Cricetulus griseus: one gene and its partners. The protein of the gene in region 3 purifies or fractionates together with the protein of the main gene of each other region. This does not show direct contact. Links are inferred from orthologs where the notes say so. Each region holds a gene or a part of one and is shown on either strand. Other genes may lie near its edges.

What was found.
Region 1: the proteins of Ruvbl1 (region 3) and Mrgbp purify together in Homo sapiens (co-immunoprecipitation; 6 studies listed by BioGRID and IntAct, counting the BioPlex papers as one, with this or other methods). This does not show direct contact. The link is inferred for Cricetulus griseus from reciprocal best matches to the Homo sapiens genes RUVBL1 and MRGBP.
Region 2: the proteins of Ruvbl1 (region 3) and Dkc1 purify together in Homo sapiens (affinity purification with mass spectrometry; 4 studies listed by BioGRID and IntAct, counting the BioPlex papers as one, with this or other methods). This does not show direct contact. The link is inferred for Cricetulus griseus from reciprocal best matches to the Homo sapiens genes RUVBL1 and DKC1.
Region 4: the proteins of Ruvbl1 (region 3) and Znhit6 purify together in Homo sapiens (co-immunoprecipitation; 3 studies listed by BioGRID and IntAct, counting the BioPlex papers as one, with this or other methods). This does not show direct contact. The link is inferred for Cricetulus griseus from reciprocal best matches to the Homo sapiens genes RUVBL1 and ZNHIT6.
Region 5: the proteins of Ruvbl1 (region 3) and Epc2 purify together in Homo sapiens (co-immunoprecipitation; 3 studies listed by BioGRID and IntAct, counting the BioPlex papers as one, with this or other methods). This does not show direct contact. The link is inferred for Cricetulus griseus from reciprocal best matches to the Homo sapiens genes RUVBL1 and EPC2.
Region 6: the proteins of Ruvbl1 (region 3) and Shq1 purify together in Homo sapiens (affinity purification with mass spectrometry; 3 studies listed by BioGRID and IntAct, counting the BioPlex papers as one, with this or other methods). This does not show direct contact. The link is inferred for Cricetulus griseus from reciprocal best matches to the Homo sapiens genes RUVBL1 and SHQ1.
Region 7: the proteins of Ruvbl1 (region 3) and Tuba1a purify together in Homo sapiens (affinity purification with western blotting; 3 studies listed by BioGRID and IntAct, with this or other methods). This does not show direct contact. The link is inferred for Cricetulus griseus from reciprocal best matches to the Homo sapiens genes RUVBL1 and TUBA1A.

What each region holds. Positions count from the first base shown.
Region 1 is NC_048599.1:1,356,943-1,361,531, reverse strand, and holds the start of Mrgbp (MRG/MORF4L-binding protein), read left to right. Parts: upstream 1-1,668; 5' UTR 1,669-1,747; coding exon 1,748-1,895; intron 1,896-2,344; coding exon 2,345-2,466; intron 2,467-3,391; coding exon 3,392-3,473; intron 3,474-3,782; coding exon 3,783-3,857; intron 3,858-4,214; coding exon 4,215-4,402; 3' UTR 4,403-4,589.
Region 2 is NC_048604.1:738,582-741,314, reverse strand, and holds the end of Dkc1 (H/ACA ribonucleoprotein complex subunit DKC1), read left to right. Parts: intron 1-425; coding exon 426-563; intron 564-967; coding exon 968-1,033; 3' UTR 1,034-1,785; downstream 1,786-2,733.
Region 3 is NC_048601.1:54,796,100-54,799,731, reverse strand, and holds the end of Ruvbl1 (ruvB-like 1), read left to right. Parts: intron 1-1,754; exon of another isoform or gene 1,755-1,791; coding exon 1,792-1,883; exon of another isoform or gene 1,884-2,231; intron 2,232-2,508; exon of another isoform or gene 2,509-2,621; coding exon 2,622-2,781; 3' UTR 2,782-2,973; downstream 2,974-3,632. UniProt on the Homo sapiens protein: Possesses single-stranded DNA-stimulated ATPase and ATP-dependent DNA helicase (3' to 5') activity; hexamerization is thought to be critical for ATP hydrolysis and adjacent subunits in the ring-like structure contribute to the ATPase activity.
Region 4 is NW_023276806.1:13,622,124-13,626,598, reverse strand, and holds the start of Znhit6 (box C/D snoRNA protein 1), read left to right. Parts: upstream 1-1,217; 5' UTR 1,218-1,317; coding exon 1,318-1,775; intron 1,776-2,723; coding exon 2,724-2,789; intron 2,790-2,871; coding exon 2,872-2,978; intron 2,979-3,063; coding exon 3,064-3,149; intron 3,150-4,475. UniProt on the Homo sapiens protein: Required for box C/D snoRNAs accumulation involved in snoRNA processing, snoRNA transport to the nucleolus and ribosome biogenesis.
Region 5 is NC_048599.1:124,754,876-124,757,970, reverse strand, and holds part of Epc2 (enhancer of polycomb homolog 2), read left to right. Parts: intron 1-898; coding exon 899-1,058; intron 1,059-1,878; coding exon 1,879-2,212; intron 2,213-3,095. UniProt on the Homo sapiens protein: May play a role in transcription or DNA repair.
Region 6 is NC_048601.1:43,316,650-43,320,668, forward strand, and holds part of Shq1 (protein SHQ1 homolog), read left to right. Parts: intron 1-2,462; coding exon 2,463-2,617; intron 2,618-4,019. UniProt on the Homo sapiens protein: Required for the quantitative accumulation of H/ACA ribonucleoproteins (RNPs), including telomerase, probably through the stabilization of DKC1, from the time of its synthesis until its association with NOP10, NHP2, and NAF1 at the nascent H/ACA RNA.
Region 7 is NC_048595.1:395,417,509-395,422,260, reverse strand, and holds the start of Tuba1a (tubulin alpha-1A chain), read left to right. Parts: upstream 1-1,541; 5' UTR 1,542-1,638; coding exon 1,639-1,641; intron 1,642-2,926; exon of another isoform or gene 2,927-3,221; coding exon 3,222-3,444; exon of another isoform or gene 3,445-3,581; coding exon 3,582-3,730; exon of another isoform or gene 3,731-3,787; intron 3,788-3,986; coding exon 3,987-4,752. UniProt on the Homo sapiens protein: Tubulin is the major constituent of microtubules, a cylinder consisting of laterally associated linear protofilaments composed of alpha- and beta-tubulin heterodimers.

The DNA of each region.
Region 1 (4,589 bases), on a different chromosome or scaffold from region 3:
CACTGGGCTACATCTCCCCCATGGCACTGTTGGGACTCTCCTCACCAACCTACCTCCACAATGGAAAGCTGAAGCCAGCCACAGACGGCTGACTGGCTCTGAGCCCTGAGCTGTCCCAGACAATGAGGCTGGCCAGAGCCTGCACCCTCCACAGTGCCCTACTCACTGTTGTGAGCATGGTCTGGTTACAGGCCTGAATGAGGGACAGGTACAGGGTCAGAACTGGATTCCAAGGCCACAGCTGAGAGGCAGCAGTCAGGAAAGGGATTCTGAAGCCTGAACATGGAGGGCATAGATGAGGGATGAATGATAGAGACACCTGTACGGGTGGCAACTGGGGTGGTTCAGACCTCAAGGAGAGACCACATTCTTGTGTAGACTGCTCTGCCCAGCACTTGGCCCCACCCAATCCAGTGTGGCGTTGTGGCTGTTATACCAGAGTCATTAGTCCCCAAGAGACTACCAGGAGTCTGAGCTCCTATGCAAAAGCAAAGAGCCTTTATTGCAAGCTCCAGGTTGGGCTCTCCATCCGTTCCAACAGGGTGGTTGGATCAGGAAGAACATTGAGCTTAGCTATGGCGGGTTTTTTAAGGAGTAAAGGATGGGGTGTAAGGGAATTCTGGCTTCAGATCGGGGCTAAACTCCAGATTGGGCAGGAGTGAGGCAACAGAAATCCTGTCAAACAGGGATTGGTGCAGGCATTGCTGCAAGGAAATTGTCAACCTATATACAAGTTAGGTAAGCTATTCTTAGTGTTCTGAAGCATCTAGTATTTGTTTGTCTCAATTTTGATTGGTCCCCTGCAGGGTACAGTCTGTGGTTTTTCCTGGTTATTTTAAGAATGAGGCCTAGTGCCAGTATTGTTAGCCTGCAGCCTGTCATGGCTGCACTGATGTTAAGTTAGGCCTCTTCAGTGGCCAGACCAGAAACTAACACCTGTCTGAATTCATCACCAACCCACTTCTGGTGGAGCTCAACTGTGGGGACAGTACGGAGGTAGAAGTAGATGGCAAGGCCAGCAGGACCCAGATGCCAAGGAAGCACCGAACTCTGGGACTGTCATGAGCAACCAGGCCAGGGCCATTCTGAGATGATAAGAGCCTCAATTCTACAAATTGTGGTTGTCAGGCTTTTATTTTTACTTATTTATGGTGTGTGTGTGTGTGTGTACACACACACATACACAATGGTATGGATATAGAGGGTCGACTTGGTTCTCTCCTGCCCCCTGCAGGATCCAGGGGTGAGGCTGCAGTTATCAGGCTTGTGCACAAGCGTCTCTATTGGATGAGCCATCTCACTAGCCCCTGGCTTTAAAACACAAACAAACAACTTTACTGAGATGTAATTTACACACTGTATGATTTATTACTGGCAGGGGGAGAGCCTGAATCTTTTTAACATATTTAACTTAGGGGCGTGTGTATCATGCCATGTAGACTGACTGACTTGGAACTCTCAGAGATTCTCCTGCCTCTGCCTCCAGAACGCTAGGATTAAAGGAGTGCGGTGTTCTTTTAAAGCTAAGGTTTCTGCCAGCTCCCTCTCTGGCCAGAGCCGGAGGCAGGGAAAGGGCTGACCACCAGGGGGCGTGCCGGCACCGGAAGCCAGCCTTTGTTGCGCCTGCGCGGACGCGGATACGCGGCGATCCGGAGCCCAGCTAGCGCGCGCCCTCCACACCGAGTGCGCCTGCGCGGAGCCTGTAGCAACCCTTCTCTCGCCGGACGCTTGTGGCTCGCCCGCGGCCATGGGGGAGGCCGAGGTGGGCGGCACGGGCGCCCCAGGCGACAAGGGCCCCGGCGAGGCAGCCCCGAGCCCTGCTGAGGAAACGGTAGTGTGGAGCCCTGAGGTGGAGGTGTGCCTCTTCCACGCCATGCTGGGCCACAAGCCTGTCGGTGAGCGTCGCGGCGAGCCGCGCACCCGCATGGGGGTGGGGCGGGTAAACGGGCGGGCGGGCGGGCGAGCGCGGGCGGGCGGAGCCTGCGACCTCACCCGAGACGGGACCTCCCACTTCGGAGTGCCCAGTTAGTCCAAGACCCCATGACGTTCCTGCCCGAGAAGCCCTCTCCCGGGGGACGCCCCTGACTTCCCTGCCCTTGAGACACTCCTACCCCAGGGACCGCCTCCACAGTCCCCGCCTCTGCAGCCCCCCTTGCCCCGGACCCGCCTACTGTATACTTACTTGCCCCTGGGACACCCACTTGCCTCCTGACACCTCTATCCTCTTTGACACCTGACTCCTGCAACACCCCCACCTGCCATTTCATACCCCTGCCCCTCCAACGTCCATGCTGTCTGCACAGAGATGCAGCCCTAACCCCTAACCCACTGTCCTGCCTCTCAGGGGTGAATCGACATTTCCACATGATTTGTATTCGAGACAAGTTCAGCCAGAATATTGGGCGCCAGGTCCCATCCAAGGTCATCTGGGACCATCTGAGCACTATGTATGACATGCAGGCACTGGTGAGTTGGACCGTGGCTCACCGCTTTGGGGCTGAAGGTGGAGACGGGTCCCACCCACATCCTGTCTTCCTAGGATCATCTGTGGTAGTACAAGACAGAGCCCACCGGTCACGTGGGGTTCACTATGCAGAGCAGAGAAGAAGTGATCTCAGTAGATGAGGCCCTTCCTCAGGAAAGCCCAAGTCCTGCTGTGGAAAGCACTAACTAGTGATGGTCTCTGACCACTTTTGCTTTAGATCTGGGGTGGCCACAAGAAGTCTTCCAGGGAGATAGATAGTTGGCTGCTGAGATGCCAGAGAATAGCATCAGCCTCAGTGTAAAGTAGTAAGAGGTCCCGAGCGCTCTAGGTGGAGGCTGACCCCATCTGAGTCCCATTGAGGTGCACTGGATACCCCTGTGGGAGCCAGATGTAGTCCTCTTTGTAGAGCTTAGAGGTAGCGCTGTCTGATGGGTGACTGTGTAACTGGTTTGGAGAGCTGGCAATGTGTGACAGGTATGCAGGGTAACTAGTAACCAAGCTGGGCAGATTTGTCTATAGTGTCTGACAGGCAGTGTAACTTCAGTACCAGGATAGGTGGAGCTGTAGGTGCCTGTGGTCATGGTGCACCTGGGGAACATTGTCCTGGTGGGAATACTGCAGTGGTGAGCCAGGTCAGTTCCTGGTATGCACATCAGCGGGGCTGACATGTTGCCAGTTTCCTCTGGGTGGCACGCGCCTGGTCCTTTTCTCTGGCTTTGTTGGGCTGGTGCTAGCCTGGCCCTCCCTCATTTGAAAAGCCCAGCTGCAGTAGACTCTGCAAGCTAGAGCCAGGAACCCTACCAGCTCAGCCTCCAGCCTGCTCCTCCTGTGCATCTTAGTGAGCTGATACCATTTTCTGTTTCTCAAAAATACAAAAAAAAAACCAAAACTGCTTTGTGCCGGCAGCACGAGTCTGAGATTCTCCCATTCCCAAATCCAGAGAGGAACTTTGTCCTTCCAGATGAGATCATTCAAGAGGTCCGAGAAGGTGAGACTCGGCCACCATCGGGGCTGGGGATTAAAAAAGCCGGACCAGGCCAAAGGTGGGGAGGTCTGGGGCCTCCAGGGAGGTGTAAGGATCCTGCTCAGACCCCACATCCAGTGGCACCCGGGAGGTTTTGGGAACCAAGGGCTGGGGAGAGCGGTGCTCAAAGGCAGTCTCCTGATGGATGCCATCTCGTGATGGACGCCGAGGCCTGTGTGGGCAGCGAGAATCGGAAGCAGTCATGGCCAGACCATCCCCCAACGCTGGCCACCACCGTGGGTTTCCAGTGAACGGCAGCTGTCTCCTCCACAGGAAAAGTGGTCATTGAAGAGGAGATGAAGGAGGAGATGAAGGAGGATGTGGACCCCCACAGTGGGGCTGATGACGGTAAGCGTGGCACGCCTCAGGCGGAATGGGACCAGGAAGCCGTGGAGTCAGAGGGGTGGAGGGTCCACTTAGAGATGAGCTCACCTCAGGCAGGAGGGCCCCTGAAGGCCTGGAAGGGGCCAAGCATTCAGCTGTCCCTTCACTGAGACCAAGGCCAAACCTGGGAGCATCAAGTGTGCTCAGACAGGAGACCCCTAGGGAGATGAGGCGTCTCTTATAGCCCAAGCTTCACAGGACTCCCACCCAGGGTAACATTAGGTGCAGAGAGCCTGATGTATATCTCATTATCTAGCTGAACAGGAAAAAAAAATGAGTTTGTGTATATTTTGTCTTCAGCCAAATGATTTTGTTTCTCAGTTTTTTCATCTTCAGGGAGCTTGGGGAAAGCATTAGAAAAATCCAGCAAAGACAAGGAGAAGAACTCCTCAGACTTGGGGTGCAAAGACGGGGCAGACAAGCGGAAGCGCAGCCGGGTCACTGACAAGGTCCTGACTGCCAACAGCAATCCCTCCAGCCCCAGTGCTGCCAAGAGGCGCCGAACATAGACACCTCAGCCCCAGGTGCCACAGAGATGCGCTAATGCTGCAAGCCCTCACTGCCTGTTCTCAGGTTCCCGGGTGAATGTGACCATCCGGCAGAGATGCTAGTGGGGGCTTCTCCTGTGTCATCAGACCATCCGAGCACCTGACTGGTCCACAAGACCAGCATCCTCTCCGCTTGGATGGTGAAGCC
Region 2 (2,733 bases), on a different chromosome or scaffold from region 3:
CAACTATCTTCAGCCAATACTATGTCACTGTTTAAGAGTGAAGTGAAGCATATGGTGGTAACCTAACTTCCAAAGGTTTTGGACCATTGTCATTAGAGCCCCAAATGGTATGTTTGCAGTTAGAAACCTGGGTGACTAGAATTAAGCTATGTGGAATTTGTGATTTGTGCCTGTTTGAGCACCTAAGGGAGCATTTGGAGTTGGTTCACTGAGACAGTTTCTCAAGGTCTTCTATACTCCAAACTGCTTTGGCACACCCATCATGGTCCATGGCTTACAATACTATTTAGTGAGATACTGTCTTTTGAAATCTTTAATAAATCAGGCAGTATTTAAGTTTATAGACAAAAAATTTACTGTTGGGTTTACTTGGAATCTTAGTAACTTTCCACATTTCTTACTGGATGAATAATTTTTTGTCTCAGAGGAAGCGAGAGAGTGAAAGTGAATGTGATGAGACCCCTCCAGTAGTCCCCCAATTGATGAAGAAGGAAAAGAAGAAGAATAAGAAGGATAAGAAGCCTAAAACTGTGCTAGAAAGTGGGGGCGAGGCTGGAGATGGGGTATGTATAAACCATGGGTGCCTTTGTGCTGGCTGAGTTTTGACAGTTAATTGTAGTGCAAGAGTGGGGTTCTACCATTGCCTCCTTTGGTGCTGCCTTGTGTTCTGGATTTGCCATGTCCATTCCCCTTGGACAGACAAGTAGGGGCACCCAGCATTTTAGAGCAATGGATCATGGTTTGAATTATGTCGCTGGTGGGTGGGGAAGCTGTGTAACTTGATTGCTCAAAGCCCTTGTGAAAGTAGACTTCTAGGACTTCACTGAGGTCACAGGCAAAATTTGTTTAATCTCAAATGCCCTTGCAGATCCTGAACAGACTTGACTGCAATTTACCAGATTTCTTTTGGGAACAGTCAGAAATATTTTGGCAAAGGGTACTTTGAACTTACTTTCTCTTTCTTTAGGACAGTGACACCACCAAAAAGAAAAAGAAGAAGAAAGTAAAAGTGGTAGAAGAAATGTCTGAATAGTAAAAGCCACTTGAAGAATTATGTCCAGCTGGGAGGAGAAATGAAAGCCTTATTGAGAAAACATTTTGTTGAGGGAGTAGAACAGAGGTCCCAAACAGAGTACAGAGTTCTGGTACACTTTAGCTGCCACTTGTGACCTCAGTGATTAAGGTGTGGCCATCTCATCCTGTCCTGTCCTGTTTTAAGGATATGAGAGATGAAAAGCAGGTTTTTGCCTCTGACCCCTCTGCTTGCTTGAGTGGGGAAGCACACTTTCAGACATGGCACTGCCTAATTAACTGTCTGCAGCTGTTTACTAATGGCCATTTTAATGCCATAGATAGTCCTCTCCTAGTTTGCTTTTTTTAAGGTTTGTGAAAATTAAATCTGCTAAATAAAATGGTATAGAACCTTCTGTGATTAAAAGAAGAATGTAATTGAACATGTTCAGTGGGGAAATCTTATCTCCAGTATCCTGTGAGGGCTGTTCTATTCTGGTATTAGATATGGGTCTTGATGGCCTGGTGTTTGGGCTAGCTAGCACTCTCTATGTTGGCTACTTGTGTTTTTAGGAGAAGCCAAAGCATTCTTATACCCTCCTGTTTTAATGCTTTTTTTTTTGAAGAATGGATTTGTTCATTGCTGGGAAAAGAATGTAATTTATAGCTTTGAAAAGTATTTGTTGGGTTTATTAATTGATAATCATAGGCTGGCAGAACAAAAAATGAAATATTTTTATTAAAAAGCTGGGGATCTTTTTGTCCTGTTTGAAATTCGCTTCTCCTTTTTTGGCTACTTTTAAGTTTCTTAATTCTGTGTCTTACATTGGCATTGGGGCCTATCACCTGCTCTCAAGGGGGGTCATTACAAATCCAGTGTTCTGCAGAACAGAGGGGAAAAGTACGTGTGTTGTGTAGTGTGCCAGCAGGTCAGATGGCCTTGAGAGTGTCAGGGTTAGGGTCGGAAATTGCCAGTTCTGGTGTTGATTGCAGGGAGAAAAGGGTGGCATAGGATGTTACAAATGATTACTCAAATGTGTGCAAGCAGAAATTTTGAGTATTTTGTGGTACAGCAATGGTCTCAGCCTAGGCAGGTATGAAGTGCCCCATCCCACCCCTAGCCCTCAGCTCCTGTTTTTGTAAGATGTGTTATCATTCTAGTGTGACTTAATAGGACACATTAAAGTGCCCACAGTGGCTTCTACCTAGAGAAGACTGTAAACACCAGCCCTTAGAGACCTATAGGGGCAGTGACAGGTTTTTCAGGTACATTGCTGTAAAGAAACTCACCTGCATGTTAAATCCAGAGACGCCATTGTGTTGATGCCATTGCCTGGGAGGTTTAAGAAGATAGCTCATAGCTTTTTAGGGGATTGTGGTGCAGATGGAAATGCAGTTACAAGGCCACAGACATGTTAGCACAGCATAATTTTTATTGCTTTGGAGGGTTTCTCTAGAGCAGTTGTACTTTGCACAGCTATTTGATTTTGGCATTTTATAAAGTTTCAGAGTATACTTATTCCAGAGTAAAGAGACAAGATAGTATAGTTGAAAGTAAAGGAGTTCAAGCATCAGAGGGATGAGGATAGTTGATTTTTCTGTGCAGCAGTTGCATTTGGATAGTACTGCTAATTTTCCAGAGGTCATTTTGAAATCTAGATAGTAGGAAAATTAAACTTAAGCCCTTTAGGAGCCTGAGTGCAGACTTGAATCCTACTGACA
Region 3 (3,632 bases):
AGTAGCTCACCTTGGAGCTCCAGGCGAAACTGCTCTGGAGTCTCCTCTCATACTGGAGCTGTGACTGACAGGCCTGCTCAGGCCAGTCTCTGGGCTTCTCTCAGTGGCTACCTGTCTGGGTCTTGCTTTGGCCTTGCAGCTTCAGGGATCCCCTCAGCCTTTTGCTGGAGTTAAGGCAGGTTTTACACAGACAAGCTCAACTTAACATGTACAAAATGCCACTAGTACTGACACCTCATAAACACCCCTGCAGGTTATTAAATGATTAAAGATCTCATTCATGAGCTGCCTGTTTCCAAGCAGCTGAGGTAGAAGCTCCCATGATTGCTCTGGTCTGTTCTAGAGACAGTGAGAGCAGATATCACTGGCATTGTGGAAGGAAGCCAAGCCACAGATCCAGCTGAGGGGAGGGCCAGCCTAGCATCACCAGCCCAGCATCACTGAGCATCCTCAGCCCTCCCCTCGGCCAGCCTCTGGTCTTCAGTGTTTATATCTCTCGGGAGTTGGCAGTGCTGGGGATATGACCTAGGTCCCTATACATGCTGAGAACATGCCCTGCCTCTGATGTACCTAATCCCCAGTCCCTCTTGAAGTTCCAGAAGACTCCTGAGCAGCCATTTGTGCTATTGGCCCACAGTCTCCCTTGTCCAGCTGTTGGTCAGGAGTTCTTGAGTCATGTAGCTGGCTGATGGAGTAGAGCAGGGGACATCCTTTCTAGCTTGCTTTCCACAGCCCTTGAACCTTGGGCCCCTCTGCTGTTGGACCTAATAGCCTGTGTAGATGATCATATCCTGACCCCTGAGGAGCACCGCACATATGTTTGAGGCCTCTGTAGTGTTTGGGACATGTGTGAACCAGTCAAGAGTTCCCCCAATTCTTCTCTTACAACCTTGTCTGGATAAAGGTGGCATAGGCAGTGGGGGTCTGCGAAGTGGCCACCTCTTAGGAATGCATGCCAGCCTGCTGCTCTGAGCTCCTTACAGGCTGCTTACAGTGACAGGCAGCTGATGACTGCTGACCCCGGCAGAGCCCTGAGTTGTCACACTCAGCCATCTCAAGCCTCCACTCTTCTTTTCTCTCTCCAGAGCCTGGAACTAGGACTCAGTGTCTTCCAGTTCCTGTGCCTCTGCTCTGGCTGTTTTTACGGCTTTAATTTAAACAACGGCTTCTTGATATCTTGTTTACGAAGCTGCCAGAGTGAAAAATTCCTGTATTATATGAGGCTCGAAGTCCTCGAGTTATCTCGGCCCCACAACACACAACATCATTATCCTGCTGGCCCTTATCACTCAGTGCTGCAGTGCCCGTGGGACCCTGTGCCACCGCTGCAGCATCTCACCGCCTGCCGGCCACCCCTCCAGCCTCACCAGGATACACAGTGCAACAAGCATTAGGCGCTTGATAGATTAGATATCTCAGCGATGTTAGGAGGGCTGGTAAATCTCTAAAAGTAACTTTTTTGATTTATTTAACCATAGTATTTATCAAACAAATAAAAAAATGTTCTCTTGCTTGAGTGCTGCTAGGTGATAGTGCTCAAGCTGCCAGGAGATGTTGGAGCCTTGAGGGCAAAGCTAGGAGTGGACCTAGCTCTCTGTAACAGGGAAAAGGAAGAGGAAGCTGTGAGCTACACTGGACATGGGGGTACCCCTGGCTATGATGTCATCCAGGTGGACTGTGGCTGGGGCGTGTGATTCCCAGAGATGCAGACTAGCAGTGCTGGTGGCCATCAGCTGGTCAGACACTGAACACAGTTGAGACACTTAACGATTGTTTTTTTTTTCTCCAAAGATCATTAAGATCCGAGCCCAGACGGAAGGCATCAACATCAGCGAGGAGGCGCTTAACCACCTGGGGGAGATTGGCACCAAGACCACACTGAGGTGTGTACACCAGGTAGCAGCCTGCTGGAGCCCTTATGCTGTGCCAAGGGCCTTTTCCAGGCATTAAGTTTAGAGTGCTAAGAATCTAGAAATGAGTTAGAACCCAGTCTTCAGCAAGCCCCTAGTAGAGTTCACCATTCTCTTCCAGTTTCCCAGTAGAGCAGGGCCTGTCCCCATCACCCTTACCCTGGGTGTATTCCAGGTATCTGGTGGCAGCAGCCTAGTGGATTAGTGCTGTGTTCTCCAGGCTGTTCTGCCAGGGTTCAAAGGCAGTGACTGGAGAAGATAGACGATAGGTCTTCAGACCCTGAGCCCTCCTTGTGTCCCTTGAGTATGTTGCTCTTGTTCCTGAAGTAAAGGAAGAAACTGTCACATGTTTAGTGAATGTTCATTGGGCCTGCATGAGCTTTCAGTTGCCTGTGTTCATTTCTTTGCATGTGAAAATTCCCCGTCTAAGTTGATACTGTCTGCCCTGCCAGGGTGTGTGTGTATCAAAATGTTAGTCTGTCAGCAGAGATGAAGTCACCCCCTTTGCAGATGTGAGAAGAGCCTTGTGTCCCCTGTCCCCTGGTGTCCCCGGTCTCAGTTGTGATGGGCAGTGGCAGTTCTCCTTTGCCGTCCTCACCTTGGGCTCCTTGCAGTTAGATGGCTGCAGCCATGCCAGCAGTGTCCATGCTCGCCTTCTGACTTTGGGCTCCCTGCAGTGGCCCCATGCTCACGCTGTGCTGTCTGCTGTAGGTATTCTGTGCAGCTGCTGACCCCAGCCAACCTGCTGGCAAAGATCAACGGGAAGGACAGCATTGAGAAGGAGCATGTGGAAGAGATCAGCGAACTCTTCTATGATGCCAAGTCCTCTGCCAAGATTCTGGCTGACCAGCAGGACAAGTACATGAAGTAACATTGGGCTGGGAGGTGCACCCAGAGGACAGACCCCACACCGTGGACAGGGCCTTGAGTCAAGCGTGCTTTGCAGTGTTGCTGACTCTGGGAACATTCTTTCTAAATTATCAAACCTCCATGTCTGCTTGGAAGGAACCCCTTCCCACCTGGCTTGTTTTCTAATAAAACTGAATAGGTTATTTTGATGATACCTCTCTTTTTAGGTTTTTATGTTTGTACTCCATGCTCGCGGAGTGTGTGTGTGTGTGTGTGTGTGTGTGTGTGTGTGTGTGTGTGTGTGTGTACACGCACACAAACTTGCAGGTGCCTGGGACTGGCAAAAGAAGGCATCAGAGCCCCTGGAGCTAGAGTTACTATGGGGGGTTCTAAGTTCTATTTGCAGCACAAAACAAGGTTATTTATGCATAACACATACACAGAAATTGCAGGACCAGTTTAGACTTATAGTTACTGTGGCATCAGTGCAGTTCCATTCTGCAGTAGGGCAGGACATTTGTCAGTGAGCGTTGAGAGCTGTGTCGGGATGTTACATCTCATCTTCCTTTCAGGCTCTAGGCTATGAGATTCCCAGACATCTCTGTTCTGATGACCGTTGGGCATTGAGAGCCACACAAGTCTACAGCCCATCTTGGCAGGTACTTTCAGTAGGACACTTATACTGTGAGCCCTAAGCACCTGGCCAAGGCTGCCATGTCTGGGACCTTGTTTATGTCCCCTGTTCTATGCTGGGCTCTTGAGTGAAGTGGCTCTCTGCTGACCACACATAAGGGTTAGAACAGCTGTGCCTCTTCTAGGGCTGCGTGTTAGCCATGGTTTGGGAGTCTGCATGAGGACAGTCTCACCGCTTAC
Region 4 (4,475 bases), on a different chromosome or scaffold from region 3:
TGGGTGACTTAAACAAAGATTGTTTTCATTTTCTCGAAATTCAAGAAGTTACTGAAGTCCAAGGCCAAGGGTTCAGAGGTTTCTCTTTTAGGCTACCTGGATTGGCAAACAGAAGGCTTATTTCTCGCCACACTCCAGGACTCCTTCTCTGTGAGCAAATTTGTATGCAAATTTCTTATTAAATGCGCCAGTCAGCTTGGATTCGGGCGCATTCTAATGACTTCATTTAAACCAGTGTGCTTTTAGGGGCCTTGTCTCCAAAATAAGGTCAGAATTGTGAGGTCCTGGGAGTTAAGGGCTTGAGCGCATGGATTTGAGGGGCTATTACTAGCCTGTGACCGGCGATTTCAGCTGCTGGCAGTAGTATGTGATCCCACGCATGGTTTCATGAAATCCTCGCGGGAGCAGATACGAGCATCTCTCTCCCCTCTCTCTCTCCTTTCCTTCCCTTCCCCCCACTTCCCGCGTGTTGTTTTTGAAACAGGGCCTCACTATGCAGCCCTGACTGTGCCAGCATTTACTCTGTAGACCGGGCTGGCCTTTAAGACACAGCGATCCCCCTGCCTCTGCCTCCCGCGTGCCGGGATTAAAGGCGGTTTCCCTTTTGTTTGTTTGGTTGGTTGGTGGTCGGTTCTTAAGACAGGGTTTCTCTGTGTAGTTTTGGAGCCAATCCTGGCACTCGCTCTGGAGACCAGGCTGGCCTCGAGCTCACAGCGATCCCCCTGCCTCTGCCTCCCGCGTGCCGGGATGGAAGGCGTGGCGGCCACCGCCCGAGCATAAAAGCGTCGTCTGGCGGCTGGCGTCTCCGTGACGAGAGCCAGGCCGCGGCCTGAGGCTGGCGGGCCCTCCGGCTGCAGACCCCGCTCTGCAGAAGCATCAGCGTGCAATTCCGCCTTGGGTGCAGCCACGGGCTCGCAGCGCAGCGGCGTCGCTGTGCGCCGGGGCCGGGCTCCCCCGCACCGGGACTGCACTGAAGGGTGGCGGGTGCGGAGGGAGGGCCGCGAACCGCTGCTGTCGCCCGGCTCCCTGGTCGGAGTCAGCCCTCAGCACACGGGAGAGCGGGTGCCCTCGTTGCAGACCGTCACTCGGAAGCCCGGGCGTGCTCGCTACGCAAAGCGGCTGAGCCGTAAAGAGCTCCGCGAGTCGTGAAGAGCCGCGGCCGGGGAGGGCTGCTTTACGGCGTGCGTGCGTGCGTGCGTGCGTGCGTGCGGGCGGGCGGGCGGAGCTCGGGGTCGCGCACGTGTGGCGCCGCCGGGGACCCCTGTGGCCGGCGGCGGGCGAGCGCCACGGTGAAGCGCGGCCTCGGCGTGCGAGCCGATGGAGCCTGCCGCGGGGGCGGAGGCGGCGAGCGCGGAGGAGGCGAAGGTGGACCTGGCGGTGGTGAAGCAGGAGGCGGGGGCCGAGGGCGGCCCGGCGCGCTGCCCCTGGGCGGTGAAGCCGGAGGCGGCGGGCGAGCCCCGCGTGAAGCTTGAGGAGGCGGGCGAGCCGCTGGTGAAGGAAGAGGCGGCGGGCGAGCCCGACGTGAAGGAGGAGAAGGTGAAGGTGAAGGAGGAGGTTCCGGACTGGGAAGAAGTGAAGGAGGAGGAGGAGGAGGGCGTGGACGTCAAACGGGAGCTGTTGGGGGGTCAGGACGTGAAGGAGGAGCAGCTGGTGGAGGCGGTGCGCGTCAAAGAAGAGGGCTCCCTCAAGACGGAAGGCTCGGATGGCCCGCGGGTGAAGGGGGAGCCTCGCATGAGCCCCCGAGGGGGCTGCAAGAGGAAGCTGGCCATGTCAAGGTAGGGCAGGGCCGGGCGCACACCCACCTGGAACCCAGAGCGTTGAGTGGACCCCGCCACCCAGCAGCAGGCGGTGAAGAGCACCAGTTAAACCAGGCACCAAGGGGGAGCCCCAAGTCTGAATGGTGGTGTTCGCTAGCACATTCTGGGACACTGCAGTGGCGGTGACCGACACGGTGTGGTCAGCTCAGGGGGCGTAAATCTGGGGACTGGAGACGTTTGTGGAACCAGAGCTTGTTAGCTGTGAAGCGATTGTGCAGGACTTGTGCCTATTGGAGAAACTAGGAATCAGGGGACATCTAATAAAAACCAACAATGAGAAAGTGAGTGGAGTTTAATAGACAGCCAGTCAGCTTGCTCTTGAACCTTTTCACGGCCCCCACGAATGTTTATTCCTGGATGTAGTTTCTTTAGTGTGCTCATGTGGTCCCACAGATCAAACTGTGAAGATTCTACCCCTGACAGCTTGGGCTGTCTGTTAAGAACAGACGAGTAACGCCATTTCTGGGTTTTCTCGGTGTCCTTTTGCAAAGGGAGGGCATACATTACGATGAAGTTTACCTGGGCCTCATCCTGTCTTGTTTTGCTTGTGTGTATGCTTTTAAAAATGTCCAGATGCAGCTTCTAGATACACACACAAAAATATCTCTGAATTGCAAATTTCAAAAATCACCGGTTCATGTTAATTTCTAATTACAGTAGAAAAGAAATCAAACAGACTATTTTTCATATATATTTTCTCGAATTGCCTTTCATTGTGTCATTTGCAAACATTTTCACAGTTTTCAATGACAGCTATAAAAGAATTGATCAGAGTCGCTGACATATGCTTTATTTGCTTTGACTACGTGCCTGTAAACTGTAAATAGGCTTGATTCAGCATTCAAAGGCTGTAAGTTCATGAGTAGAGTCAATTTTTGAGTATTAAGTCACAGGTGAATTTTACAGGTGTGAAACTTGTGGGACAGAAGAGGCAAAGTACAGATGTCCACGCTGCATGAGATATTCCTGCAGGTAGATATGTAACTTTCTACCTTATTCCTGACCTCTTCCCACTTACTTCAGATATAAAACTGCCTTCTGTTTGTCTCTGCAGTTTGCCCTGCGTAAAGAAGCACAAAGCAGAACTGACTTGTAATGGAGTCCGAGATAAAACCGCTTACATCTCACTACAGCAGTTTACGGAGATGAATCTCCTAAGTGGTAAGTCATTCTATGCACAACAGGTGACTGCTTTCTGGCCACTGGCATATGTCACTTGTTAATTTTTCCTTTCTGAAATTACTAGACTATCGGTTTTTGGAAGACGTGGCAAGAACTGCAGACCAGGTTTCAAGAGATACTTTCTTGAAAAGACCAAAGCGCAAAAAATACGTAAGGATTTCTTCTGATCTTTTCAAGTTAAAATTGCTTCCAATGTTTATTCATTTCTTGGATCTATCAAGTGGCCACCCTGACCTGGGACTGTACTGATTATTCAAGATAGATCCAAAGTTTACCCTGCGGAGTTTGTATTGTTAGTTAAGTGGAAGAGGCCGGATGTAGAAACAGCAAATATAATTTCTTACAGATTCAAGTGCATGTAGAAAATTGGGATGGGTCAAAAGAGTAAAGAAAACAAAGTAGTCTGTGAGGTCGTAAACTTCGGGGTATGATTGTCAACACAGTGGTAGAGATGAGCATCTCTGAGGACCAGTTAGACGTTGATCTTAATGGTGTGAAAGAGAGTAGGAGTCATTTGGAGGAAAACTCTTCTGGGTAGAGACCTGGACAGAAGTGGCACAAGCCTGTGACCCAGCACTTGGAGGAAGACATAGCAAGACTTTGACTCAAAAAGATGCAGGCTGAGAACTGGTGTGTATGTTTGGAGATTACAAGAGGCAGGATAACTGAAGCATAGTGAATGGGTAGGGATGCTAAATGGAGTTTAGGAAAAGTTGTAGAGTTCCCAAGCATGCTAAGTAAAGGGACCAAGGGAGACTGTGTGGTGCTGCCTTTAATACCCTCAGAAAGTCAAGAGGCAGGAGAGACTCTTGAGACAGGCCATGCAGGGCCCGGTATATGAGCCTTTTTTGTTTGTTTCCAGAGAGGATTTCTCTGTGTAGCTTTTGGAGTCTGTCCTAGAATGCTCTGGAGACCAGGCTGGCCTCAAACTCAGAGAGATCCACCTGCCTCTGCCTCCCAGTGCTGGGATTAAAGGCGTGCGCCACCACCGCCTGGCTAAAATAATTTTTTTTTAAAGGATGACTTGCTGCTTGGTTGGGGTCAGGGAACCACAGTGGAAGACTGAAGCATGAAGAACAGTTTCAGGAGTGTGTGTCAACGTGTGAGAGGTGGTGGTGGCTTGGGTATGCTGTTAGAAATAACTGGAAAGTAGTGTGATTCCAGTTTTGACAAAACAGTTAGCCGGGCCTTGTGTCCTGACATATTAGTTTTCAGATTCGTGCTTCCTTCAAACAATAGGAAAATTAAAGGTTACAACTGTGAGATATTTGGTACCTGAGAATTTCATTACTACTGTGATTGAATCAGACCATTTTAGTGTAGAAGTGAGAACTTCAGTACCTTTCACACACATGTAGAAAGTTACCACGTAGCATCACTACTACTCAAGTTAAATTAAACATCACTGGATTCTATTTTTATTGTAAAATACAACATATGTTAAAAAATGGTAAAATGGAAATAGTGTAATGATAA
Region 5 (3,095 bases), on a different chromosome or scaffold from region 3:
CAAACCAGAATCTACCAACAGTGGTTTAGTTCATTCTCAAAGGGTCAGTCCCTTTACCTTAAAGTCATAAGCCAACATCGTGGAAATCTTAGTGACCCTGGTTGCTATCCCCACACCCTCTGGTAGTCCTAGTAGATCTGGGCTTGACTTAGAGCCTATGGCTATCATTGTTAGTAGCAGGCAGTTTTACACAGAATCATGAAAGAGTAGCCACTGAGTTTGGTTTGCTTTGTTTTTTGTGAGTCTCTTCAGATAACTAACCTGAAGTTTTTGCAGTCTTCTTCAAAGTTGGATTGGTCCAGGTTTTTACATTTTGATAGAAGTGGCTATTAATCATGTCTGTGATTTTATTTTATTTATGGTGTCTGCTCATTAAGCAGTTTTAAAGTGTTCATTATTACCTAGAAAAGTTAATAGAACTTGGATTTTTCAATTTAGTTGTTTTTCTCAGAAATAATTGCTTGCTAGTTTCTAGTGATTTTCATGCTTCATAAACCAAAAAATAAAAACAAAATAAAATAAAAAACCTCACAGCTAAGTACTTTCGACTATTCATGATTAGAAAGGCAATGTCCTTGCGTTCCGAACATTCCTTAATGTGCTCATTAATCCCATCTAACAAAACTGAGGATGTAGGGTGCTGGCAAGATTTCCTAGCTAGTAAAGGCACTTGCTGCCAAGTCTGACAACCTGAATTGGATCCCTGGAACTGCCTTGGTGGAAGAACAGAACCAACTCCTGACAGTTGTCCTCTGACCTCCACACATACTCCATATTCCTGTTTCCCCTGTCACTGGCAGGGGTGGGAGGTGGGGGCAGGGGGGATTAGTAGATAGATACATAGACAGACAGACAGACAAATGTGGAAAACTGAACTGTGCTTCTATCCATTTTATAGGGCTCAAGCACCTCTGACTGTATGTCTAAAACACTTGACTCGGCCAGTGCACACTTTGCTGCATCTGCAGTTGTCAGTGCTCCTGTTCCTAGTCGCAGTGAGGTATCCAAGGAACAGAACACTGGCCACAACAACATGAATGGTGTTGTCCAGCCTTCAGGTACAACTGGGGTTTCACATAATACTTAGTAGTTTGAAGTTGCCACTTACTCAGTTGGGTTTGGTTTTGTTATATGCACAGAGGAAATGTATACAAGTGCTCTTCAGAATGCCTGGACGGATCTGGATGAGGAACTGAGTGTTTCCAGAATTCTCAACACTGTCTTCTGTATGCCTGCCTCCATCCATCCATCCTGATTACATCTTAGACTATCAGTTGCTTCACATGTTAGGAAATATCCATTGAGCTCATTATCAATCACCCCCATTGATTCATCTATGAATTGATTAAAAAGTGAAATACAAAACAGCACAGTCAGTTATAAGGCTTGAGGTTGGGTTTACATACCAATGTGCACATATTCTTAGATATACTTCCCCTGACTTCTCCTTTAGGGATACATTATGGCTGTGAAAGCCTGCCTGCTGCCTACTGCCTGTGCTCCAGGGACAGTGCTTCTCTGTCTCCTCCCAGCTCCCAGCTGAGAACCCTCTAGTTTCATTAGATGTACTCAGGAGCATCCTCCTTCTTTTCTTTCTTCAGCCCGCATTGCTGATCTTTGTATGCCTATAACTGTTTAGGGCAACCCAGCCATCATTCTCATCTGTCCTATTGTGTTTATCTCCAAAGTTGACTCAGAGAGAGATAGCAAAATGCTTGGTGAAGCCTCTTTGTATGACTGTGATATGGAAAGTTAACTGAGAATTTATTGAACTAGAATATGAGTACACTTACTTTCATTAACTAAATTCCTAATTCTTAGGGGGTTTTTTTTATTGTCCCATGACACTAATTGAATGATTTCTCCCCTCTTCTGCAGGACCATCTAAAACAATATATTCCACCAATATGGCTTTATCATCCAGCGCAGGGATTTCAGCTGTACAGCTTGTAAGGACAGTTGGCCACACTACTACAAACCACTTGATCCCAGCATTGTGCACAAGCAGTCCTCAGACGCTTCCCATGAACAATTCCTGCCTGACCAATGCAGTGCACCTCAATAACGTCAGTGTTGTTTCTCCTGTCAATGTGCATATCAATACACGGACTTCAGCACCATCGCCAACAGCCTTAAAACTTGCCACAGTTGCTGCCAGTATGGACAGAGTGCCAAAGGTTACTCCCAGCAGTGCCATCAGCAGCATGGCCAGGTGTGTGGCTTTGCACCAGCTTCTTGGAGGAGAAGGGCCTTTGGCTTTTCACTGCTCAAGCAGTATCTGTTGACAGACTTGATTTTTCAAAAAGCTTGAGGATTTGCTTAACACAAAGAAAGCTCTGTGCCCACCGACACCAGTTAGCGTCCTTAAATGCCAACTGTAGAAAGATGAGAATGTCAAATTGATACTTTAGAAGCTTCAGTCACTCATTTTTTTTTATTTTATCTTTAAATTTTTTAAAGATTTATGTTATTTTATGTGTATAAGTGTTTGGCCTGCATGCATGTGTATGCACTGTGTGCATGCCTGGTACCTGTGGATACCAGTGGAAGGCAGGTTCCCGGGGACTGAGTTACAGAAGGATGCAGGACATTGCCTGTGTGCTAAGAATCAAACCTGGGTCCTCTGCAGGAGCAACAAGTGCTCTTAACTGCTGAGCTGTCTCTCTACCCCTATCACATCATATTTTATAGACTGATAGTCTAGGTTGGAGCTATCAGTTCATATCAGAAACTTAAATTGAAATCATACTCTATGACCCTTCACTTTATAGTTTTAAAATTTTTAAGAACTTTCTAAAACCAAATAATGTTTTGCAGGGCAAATTTTATGTTCCTTTCAGTGACACAAATGCAAGGATAACAGTGAAACAAACAAAAAAAATTTATTTGTATGGGTTCAAAAGTTTTGACCATAAGCCTATAAAAAGGAACTTGGATTAATGATGTTATATATTCCCTAACTTGTCACTAGTATTAGAAATTAGTGGAATTTCTGAGCTGAAGAAAAAGAATCTTCATTCCTGCCTGGAAATGATAAAAATTGGGGTTTTTGTGGGGGTCATATGTAGTTAGTTATAGTTACTTTAAAATGTGAC
Region 6 (4,019 bases), about 11 Mb from region 3:
AAAGACCTGTGCCACCACTGCCCGGCTGGTTACTATTTTTTTAATGTGTAGTAGTGCTTTGCCTGCAGAGCTCAAAAAAGAACGTCGGATCCCCTGGAATGGGAGTTACAGATGGTTTTGAACCACTGTGTGGGTGCTGGGACTCAAACCCAGGTCCTCTGGAAGGGTAGCTAGTGCTTTTAACCACTGAGCCATTTCTCCAGCCCCAAGTGAAACAACCTTAAAAAGACTTCATGTATGATTCAGGAGTTGGAAAAAACATGAACCAAGGCAGTAAATCCAGAATCTAGGACTATGTGGGATTATAATGAAAACAGTTTCTGTGGCAAAAGGTAACCCAAACAAAGTCAGCAGATTTGGAATTTGATTGGGATTTATATTTAATATATCTATTACTGTGTGTTCGTAATTGTGTGGGTTTACGTATTCCATGGCTCATGTGTAGAGGTCAGAGAACAGCTTCATGGAGTTGGTTTTCTCCTTCTCACTTTATTGAGTCCTTGGGAACAAAATCAGTTGTCTTTGGCCATGATTGGCCATGATTGGCCAAAGACATGATTGGCATGTGTTTTTACCTGCTGAGCTATCTTGCTGACCCAAGGACTTATATTTATAATACACAAAATTTTTAAAACTTTGATAAGCCAAGCTGTTCCATAGGAAAAATTGGAAAGAACACAGTTTGATGGGCAATTCACAGAGCAAACCCAGTTTGCCAACATAACCAGGAACAAATGCCATATGTTTAGCAGAGCGGCACTAACTCAAGTACCCAGTAGTGGGTCACAGTTAAATTTTTTGCTGTAGAACAGCTTATCCCCATGCTGGTGTTCTCATAGTCTCCATATATTAGGGGTCAGGTCTGGCTCTGATAGGTCCTTTGGGCCTTGCAAGACTGTGGTAGCTCAGATATGTCTGTGGCCTATGGGATGAGAGCTATTAATGCAGACCAACACAAAATCAAAAACTACATAAAACATTCTGAGACCTTTGAATGATCTTTTTTGTAACTAGATTGTGTGATCCTTTAACGTGCTGATCATCATGACCCGACAGCATCATTTTACATTGTTAAAAGGTTGGACATACTGGCCAAATATGCCCATCTCTTTTAAAAAGTAGGTTTGGTTGCTACATTCTTTCCTTCAGGCTCATATTATTGTTGGCAGAATTCTCTTCCTTCAAGCTGCAAAACTGGCCCCACTTTCTTGCCAGTTATTAAATGGGGCAATCTTCAGATTGTGGCAGTCCCAGAAGTACCTGCCACATAGCCTTTTCACATGCCATGTCACTCCAGGAATACCCTGGCTCTACTCTGACAATAATGGAATGTAAGCATGGCGATAGCTGTTCTGTCATCTTTGTCACATTCTGTTGTGCAGAATCAAGTAACAAGATCTATTCCTCAAAGGGAGTGATGCCATTCTTTGGGCGTTCATCTTGGAATTCTCCTTATCACAGTCACTTAAACTCATTAAACTGGAAAGACATGGGAAAAGTGCTGCTAAGTTCATTGCCAGGTGGGGTGAGAAGTGTGTATAGGAAGGTATGCTGGCTATGGCTAATATGTCAGCTTGACACAAGCTAGAGTCATTTTGGAAGAGGGAACCTCAGTTGACAAAAAGACTCTACCAGATTGGTTAGTGCATGTGTCAGGTGGCTCCTAATTGTCTTTAATGACTGTTCCTGGGGGTATGATATTTCTAGCCTCCTGCAGTCACATGCACATACCCACATTCTCTCTCTCTCTCTCTCTCTCTCTCTCTCTCTCTCTCTCTCTCTCTCTCTCTCTCTCTCTCTCTGTTCCTGGGGGTATGATATTTCTAGCCTCCTGCAGTCACATGCACATACCTATATCTCTCTCTCTCTCTCTCTCTCTCTCTCTCTCTCTCTCTCTCTCTCTCTCTCTCACTGTTCCTGGGGGTATGATATTTCTAGCCTCCTGCAGTCACATGCACATACCCACATATTCTCTCTCTCTCTGACTGTTCCTGGGGGTATGATATTTCTAGCCTCCTGCAGTCACATGCACATACCCACATTCTCTCTCTCTCTCTCTCTCTCTCTCTCTCTCTCTCTCTCTCTCTCTCTCACAGACACACACACACACAGACACACACACACGTACACAGGTACACACATACACATAATTTAGAATAATAAGAATAAACTTTAGGAAAAAGATTTGTGAAGTCAGAAACTGCTATTGAAATGTAGGAGGGGAACGTCTAGAAGGTTTGGATAGACACATGGCTCTTAATAAAGCTTGAAAATCCTCCTTTAAGAAATTGCCTTATATGTAGAGTTATGGATAAATAACTTTGATTTTGCTTTTATATTCAGAATTCCATTTTGGCAAATCTTCTGCACTGGTGGTTTTATGAACCTGAATAGCACATTTAATTTTCAGGACTGTAAAATAAATAAATAAATAAATAATTCAGAACTGTGTTTTCTTCTAGTGTCTTTTTCAGAAGAGGAAAAATATCAGCTAAGAAAATTTGTGAATAAGTCTTACCTGCTGGACAAGACAGCTCACCGTCAAGTGTACTACAGTTTAGTTGACATCCTTCTGGCCTATTGCTATGAAATACGTGTCACTGAAGGAGAGCACAATGTAAGTCTGTGTGTGTCAGGGCAGACCACTGTGTTAGCTAAAGGGAGCTAGGGCTTAGCTTCCTGTTGAGAGCATTGCCTTTGGTGATAAATTAATTACTTAGGGGCAGTCCCAGAAGAAGTGCCTGTGGAGGTCATAGTAGATGGTAGTGGGCACCGTTATGAAGCATAATGCTAATTGTGATCCTGTCTCTTCTTTCTTAGCAGTAGATCTGCCAGATAGATAGCAGAGCAGAGAAGTGTAAGGAAATCAAGCCAAGGGTAGAAAGGAAGGCAGTGTTACTCAATGGCAAAGGTGCCAACTACCACACTCCAAGCTTTCATTTGTCTCATGCAGAGTAAAGCCTTTTGCAGAAAAGAATCTTAGCATACAGAATGTGTACTTAAAAAGATTTGTATGTAAGTCCCGTTTTTTTTTTTTTTTTTTTTTTCAAAACTTAAATCATACTTCTTTTTGTTATTTAAAAGAAACATCTCAGGCTGAGGCAAGAGGATTGAGAGATCAAAGCCAGCCTAAACTGCAAATGGAGACCCTGCTTTCATCTTTTTTCATCTTCATATTGTATACCAAAGAAGCCATGTGTCATGTCATGTATTTTAAAGACTGTGTTCAATCACCAGTGCTTCAGTCAATCCAGCCAATCATTGAATCAATAAAGAAATAAATGCTGGAAAGCCAAAGTTTTTCTAGATAGTGTGGCCCCATTCATAGTTTTAGCCTTGTCATATGCTTTCCTTTTTCTTTTTGATTATACAGATAATTTATATCATTGGGATTTCCCATAATTCCAGTAGTTAGTAGTAACCACATTTGAAAGATCATTTATGTGGTTTTCTTTTACTGTGCGTGTGCGCGTGCGTGCGTGCGTGCGTGCATGTTTACTTTGGTTTGCAGCCTATACACTATGATTTAATTCACTTACCTCACACAGCATCATAGCATCAATAGTAGTTTGAGATGCCAATTTTTTTAATGTCATGATTCTGAAAATTTCTAAAGTGACTATTGCAGTCTGCATATGATCTAAGTGAAGTCTTAAGGTTATTAAGAATATAATTATCTGAAAATACTTTGTTTTCAGGTCTTTTTAAATTAATATATTTTTGTTTTATGTGCATTGGTATTTTGCCATGGGTGGTTGGTAAAATTACAATTGTGAGCTGCCATGTGGGTGCTAGGAGTTGAACCAGCAGTCAGTGCTCTTAACCACTTAGCTCCTCTCCAGCCCAAGTTATTTTTTTAAAGATGTTCTAAGTGGATAAAATGTTTACTTAACCCCCCCCCCCCAATAAAAAGGAAGGCTCTTCATTTTATATTATTGAATCTTTTAAATTTTTTGAAAGATTTAAAGTTTTGTGGATATGGGGTTTTACCTGAACATGTGTATATGCACCATGTTTAT
Region 7 (4,752 bases), on a different chromosome or scaffold from region 3:
GAGTCCACTGGAAATAGTCTGCCGAAAACCAAGACTCTGCTATGAAAACTAAAAGGGAAATCATCTGTCAAAATCCAAATTTTCAGCTTGGTGCCCAAACAAATATCTCTTAACCTCTGAAATTTCTTCCAGCAAATATTCAGTGGTCTGCAGCTCAGAGACATGCTTTATATAGACCATCCTGGCCGATAATGGAGGCTTTCTAAATAGAAAGAATGCCACTGTAATCCATTTCCTAGGGGTGAAAGCAAGGCATTTTTGTCCCAATGGCCAATTGAGCAACAACCACAGACTCTAGCTGAATAGCAGTGGTGTGAGGAGCTACTGTTCCCACAGTTAGAAGCCCAACTGCAGAAGGGGCTATTTACAGAATTTAGGGAACTACGTAAAATGAACTGCAGACGGGCTGACATTGCACAGTTGTCTGGGATGAAAGCAACATTACAAAATGGTTTCCTTTTATATTATATAACTCTTCTCTGTTTTTAAAAATTTGGTATCTCAGTCATGTTTTACTTGATATCACCCCTCCCCAAAGAAGAGCAATGCAGAAATATAAGCCCACGCAAAGAAAGAGCTAGTTTTAAAACTCAATTCTTTCTCCTTATAGTTTCGGAACCCTGTATTGGAAAGGATAGCTCATTTCTACAGATAAAATAGCACAGGCTCGGGGGAGGGGAGTGGGTGTGGAGGGGTGGTAGGGAGTGCTGTCCGTAAACAAAGCTAGCTCTATGGTGAACTATAAATTCTGTTTTGTATATTATTTCTCTTTAGTTCGTTCTCTTTTGCTTTTTTGTGACATGATCACACACTATAATCCACGCTGGCCTCAAACCAGCTGTAATCCTCCAGCCTCAGCTCCTCCAAGGTTGGGATTTACGTGCCAGTTAGGGTGACCTTGAACTGCAGATCTTCCTGCCTCTGAACCCCAGCTGCAGTTTAGATTACGATGCTGGCCTATTCTTAGTGGGCTTCTGAATCTTGTTCAAACAACAGTAACAATAACTGTAAACATCGGCATTTACCCAAGCCGTTTGGACCATCATTTCTATCTCTGCTGGTTTTTTAAAAGCAATTAAAGACTTTGGATCCTGAGGGAATATGGTCAAATTTAGTGTACTGTGTATGAAATGCTGGAATTTTCTATTAAAAAAAAAAAACCATAAAGTCTGTGATTAAGTGTAGGGGAAAACCTTGGATTATTTTAACTATAGTTTAAGGTTTAAGTCATGTATAATCACCCAGCCCCGATTTTCTTTCTTCCCTTCCCTCCCCTCCCCTCCCCTCCCCAGCCCCACCCCATAATGGATGCTCCGCTAGTTGCATTTGCTCAGCCTTTGTCTGAGGATGCAAAGTCTACGGATGCTAGGGGGAAGGGGTGGGGGAGAGATTACCTCATACCATGTCGCTTGCACCAATCACCACTCTCCTGTCGCGGCTTCTCTGGGCAGACGGAGGGGTCTGGACCAACAGGAAAAGGCCGTGGCCCATCCCCATGGTGACCGAGCTGTATATAAGGAGCCGCATCCGCCCATGTGCCGCAGGTTCTCTTACATCGACCGCCTAAGAGTCGCGCTGTAAGAAGCAACACCTCCTCCTCGCCTCCGCCAACCTCCGGGCAGCCGCAAAGCAGCAACCATGGTGAGCCAGCCTTCTTCCCTGGTCCTCCGTAACTGGGTGGAATCAGTCTCCCGAGATCTTCAAGGGAAAGCCTAAGTCTTTGTCACCCCTGCGGGGAAGGGTGGTCTCAATGCTTTGTTAAGTTGAGCTTTGCGCGGAGTCCGTAAATCCCGCAGCCGCAGTGCGGGGCAGGGAAACGCCCAGACCCGGGGAAGAACAAAGGCTCCTGCGAGTGTTTGCTCGCACAGCCTGGGCCGTCAGGGCGGGGGTTCACGGCTAGAGGGGTGCGCTGCGGCGGGCGAGCAGGGCGGCGGCCGAGCCCTCACTCCAGAAACGCCGCCCCACTTCTATGGGAAAATGGTTAGTTTGCGTCGGATCCATGGCAGCCGGTGTCAGGGAGGCGCAGGGGCGGGGTTGTTTGTCTCTTGCTTCCGTGGCGTTTTGGGAGGGGTTCGCCCTCTCTAAACTTCCCTCGGGAGTGGTTTTTGTATTTTTATTTTTAAAAAATTGCTGTGGAACTGTAATCTTACAAGAGGTTTTGTTTGCTTGAGTGTCAAAAGTACGATTTACTTAACACCAGGACATCTCGCTGGGGAGAGAGGGGCTGGATAGTTGGTGAGGTTGCCTCGACTACCCTGATTGTCAGAACCCAGGGAAACGCCCTTCCCCACCCCCCACCCCCGCAGACAATGAAAGTTGTAGCTTTAAAGACAATAGAAAACTATCTCTATAGAATAAATAATACTAATATATTATGTGGTATGTAAAGATTCATCGAATAAAATACCATTTTCTAGTTTTAAATGTTATCTTTTTACTCGGTTTTTATTGTTGGCCCTTGTTTCTAACTTAGCTTTAAGAATATTTTGCTTCTATATAGTGGAAAAGATTCTGGAAAATCTTCATTATCTAATGAAACTGCTGCAAGGAAAAAAATTATACTCCGTATCCAACTGTCTTTTGTTCTAATACATCTTCACTAATTCATTATTTCAGGCAAATGGCCCAGACAGGGTTAAGAGGGTTAGGAAACTGAAAGCAGCGAGGGGATCGTATAGACAGCTGCTGGAAATAGAGCTTTCTCTGTTAAATAATGTAACAAAGGGCACAGGCTAGCACCAGGCACAGCAGACACAGCAATGCAGAAGTCACACTTTGTCTAGTGCTGATGAGTTCTGCAGAAGGGTGTGGCTCCTGCCCGCAGCCGCAGTACTGATGTCCATGTTGAAATACCAGATCACAAAAGATGAAGCATTCATCTTTACTTATCAGGAAAAGAAGCAATTAAAATAATTCCAGACAATTATTTCACTTTACAGTATCAGTGTATTAAGTATTTTTCGAACATGAAAACTCTTCTATTTAAGTATGGCTGTGAGAACAATGGGTTTGCACCAAGTCTTAGTATTAAGGTGACATTATTCAGACCACACCCCTTTGCAGTATTTGTATCAGGTACTCATTATTGTTTCTGTCATATGAGGGATATGACTCCAAATAAATTTCAACAATATTTGTGTTATTAGAAACACTTTAGAAATCTATTAAAATCTAAAATAGAAATACAGCTTAATTTCATAATTTTTCCCCCTTTTCCACAGCGTGAGTGCATCTCCATCCACGTTGGCCAGGCTGGTGTCCAGATCGGCAATGCCTGCTGGGAGCTCTACTGCCTGGAACATGGCATCCAGCCTGACGGCCAGATGCCAAGTGACAAGACCATCGGGGGAGGAGATGACTCCTTCAACACCTTCTTCAGTGAGACAGGCGCTGGCAAGCATGTGCCCCGGGCCGTGTTCGTAGACCTGGAACCCACAGTCATCGGTAAGTGGGCCAGGGGTTTCCCTGAGGCATTCTGTCCTGGTCACATACTCAGAACCTCTCCACACACCGCCGAAGAGTGAGTGAGCTTGTGTGTGTCAGTTACTGTTGTGAATGGTTGATTTCATCTCCTTTTCCAGATGAAGTTCGCACTGGTACCTACCGCCAGCTCTTCCACCCTGAGCAGCTCATCACAGGCAAGGAAGATGCTGCCAATAACTATGCCCGTGGCCACTACACCATCGGCAAGGAGATCATTGATCTTGTCTTGGACAGAATTCGCAAGCTGGTAAATACCATAGATGGATGGGTTCATTTAAAATGCAGTGTGGGGGAGTGTTGGGACCTGCCAAAATAAGTAAAGTCTGTTCACTACATTAATTAAGTAGACTTGTACATGTGGTCTATGGGTCATGAGATCATTTTTAATACCAATTCACAATTTTTTCCTTTCAAGTAAATGTGGTTTGCCATCTTGAGGAATTGCAAGCAGTGCTGAGAGTATGCCCTGTTGATAAACAATGCCTGTTCTTTTTTTCCTACAGGCTGACCAGTGCACAGGTCTTCAGGGCTTCTTGGTTTTCCACAGCTTTGGTGGGGGAACTGGCTCTGGGTTCACCTCCCTGCTGATGGAGCGGCTCTCTGTCGATTATGGAAAGAAGTCCAAGCTGGAGTTCTCCATCTACCCAGCCCCCCAGGTTTCCACTGCTGTGGTTGAGCCCTACAACTCCATCCTTACCACCCACACCACCCTGGAGCACTCTGATTGTGCCTTCATGGTAGACAACGAGGCCATCTATGACATCTGTCGTAGAAACCTCGACATTGAGCGCCCCACCTACACTAACCTAAATAGGTTGATAGGTCAAATTGTGTCTTCCATCACTGCTTCCCTCAGATTTGATGGAGCCCTGAATGTTGACCTGACAGAATTCCAGACCAACCTGGTACCCTACCCTCGCATCCATTTCCCTCTGGCCACATATGCCCCTGTCATCTCTGCTGAGAAAGCCTACCATGAGCAGCTTTCTGTAGCAGAGATCACCAATGCCTGCTTTGAGCCAGCCAATCAGATGGTGAAATGTGACCCTCGCCATGGTAAATACATGGCTTGCTGCCTGCTGTACCGTGGGGATGTGGTTCCCAAAGATGTCAATGCTGCCATTGCCACCATCAAGACCAAGCGTACCATCCAGTTTGTGGACTGGTGTCCCACTGGCTTCAAGGTTGGCATTAATTACCAGCCTCCCACTGTGGTACCTGGTGGAGACCTGGCTAAGGTCCAGAGAGCTGTGTGCATGCTGAGCAACA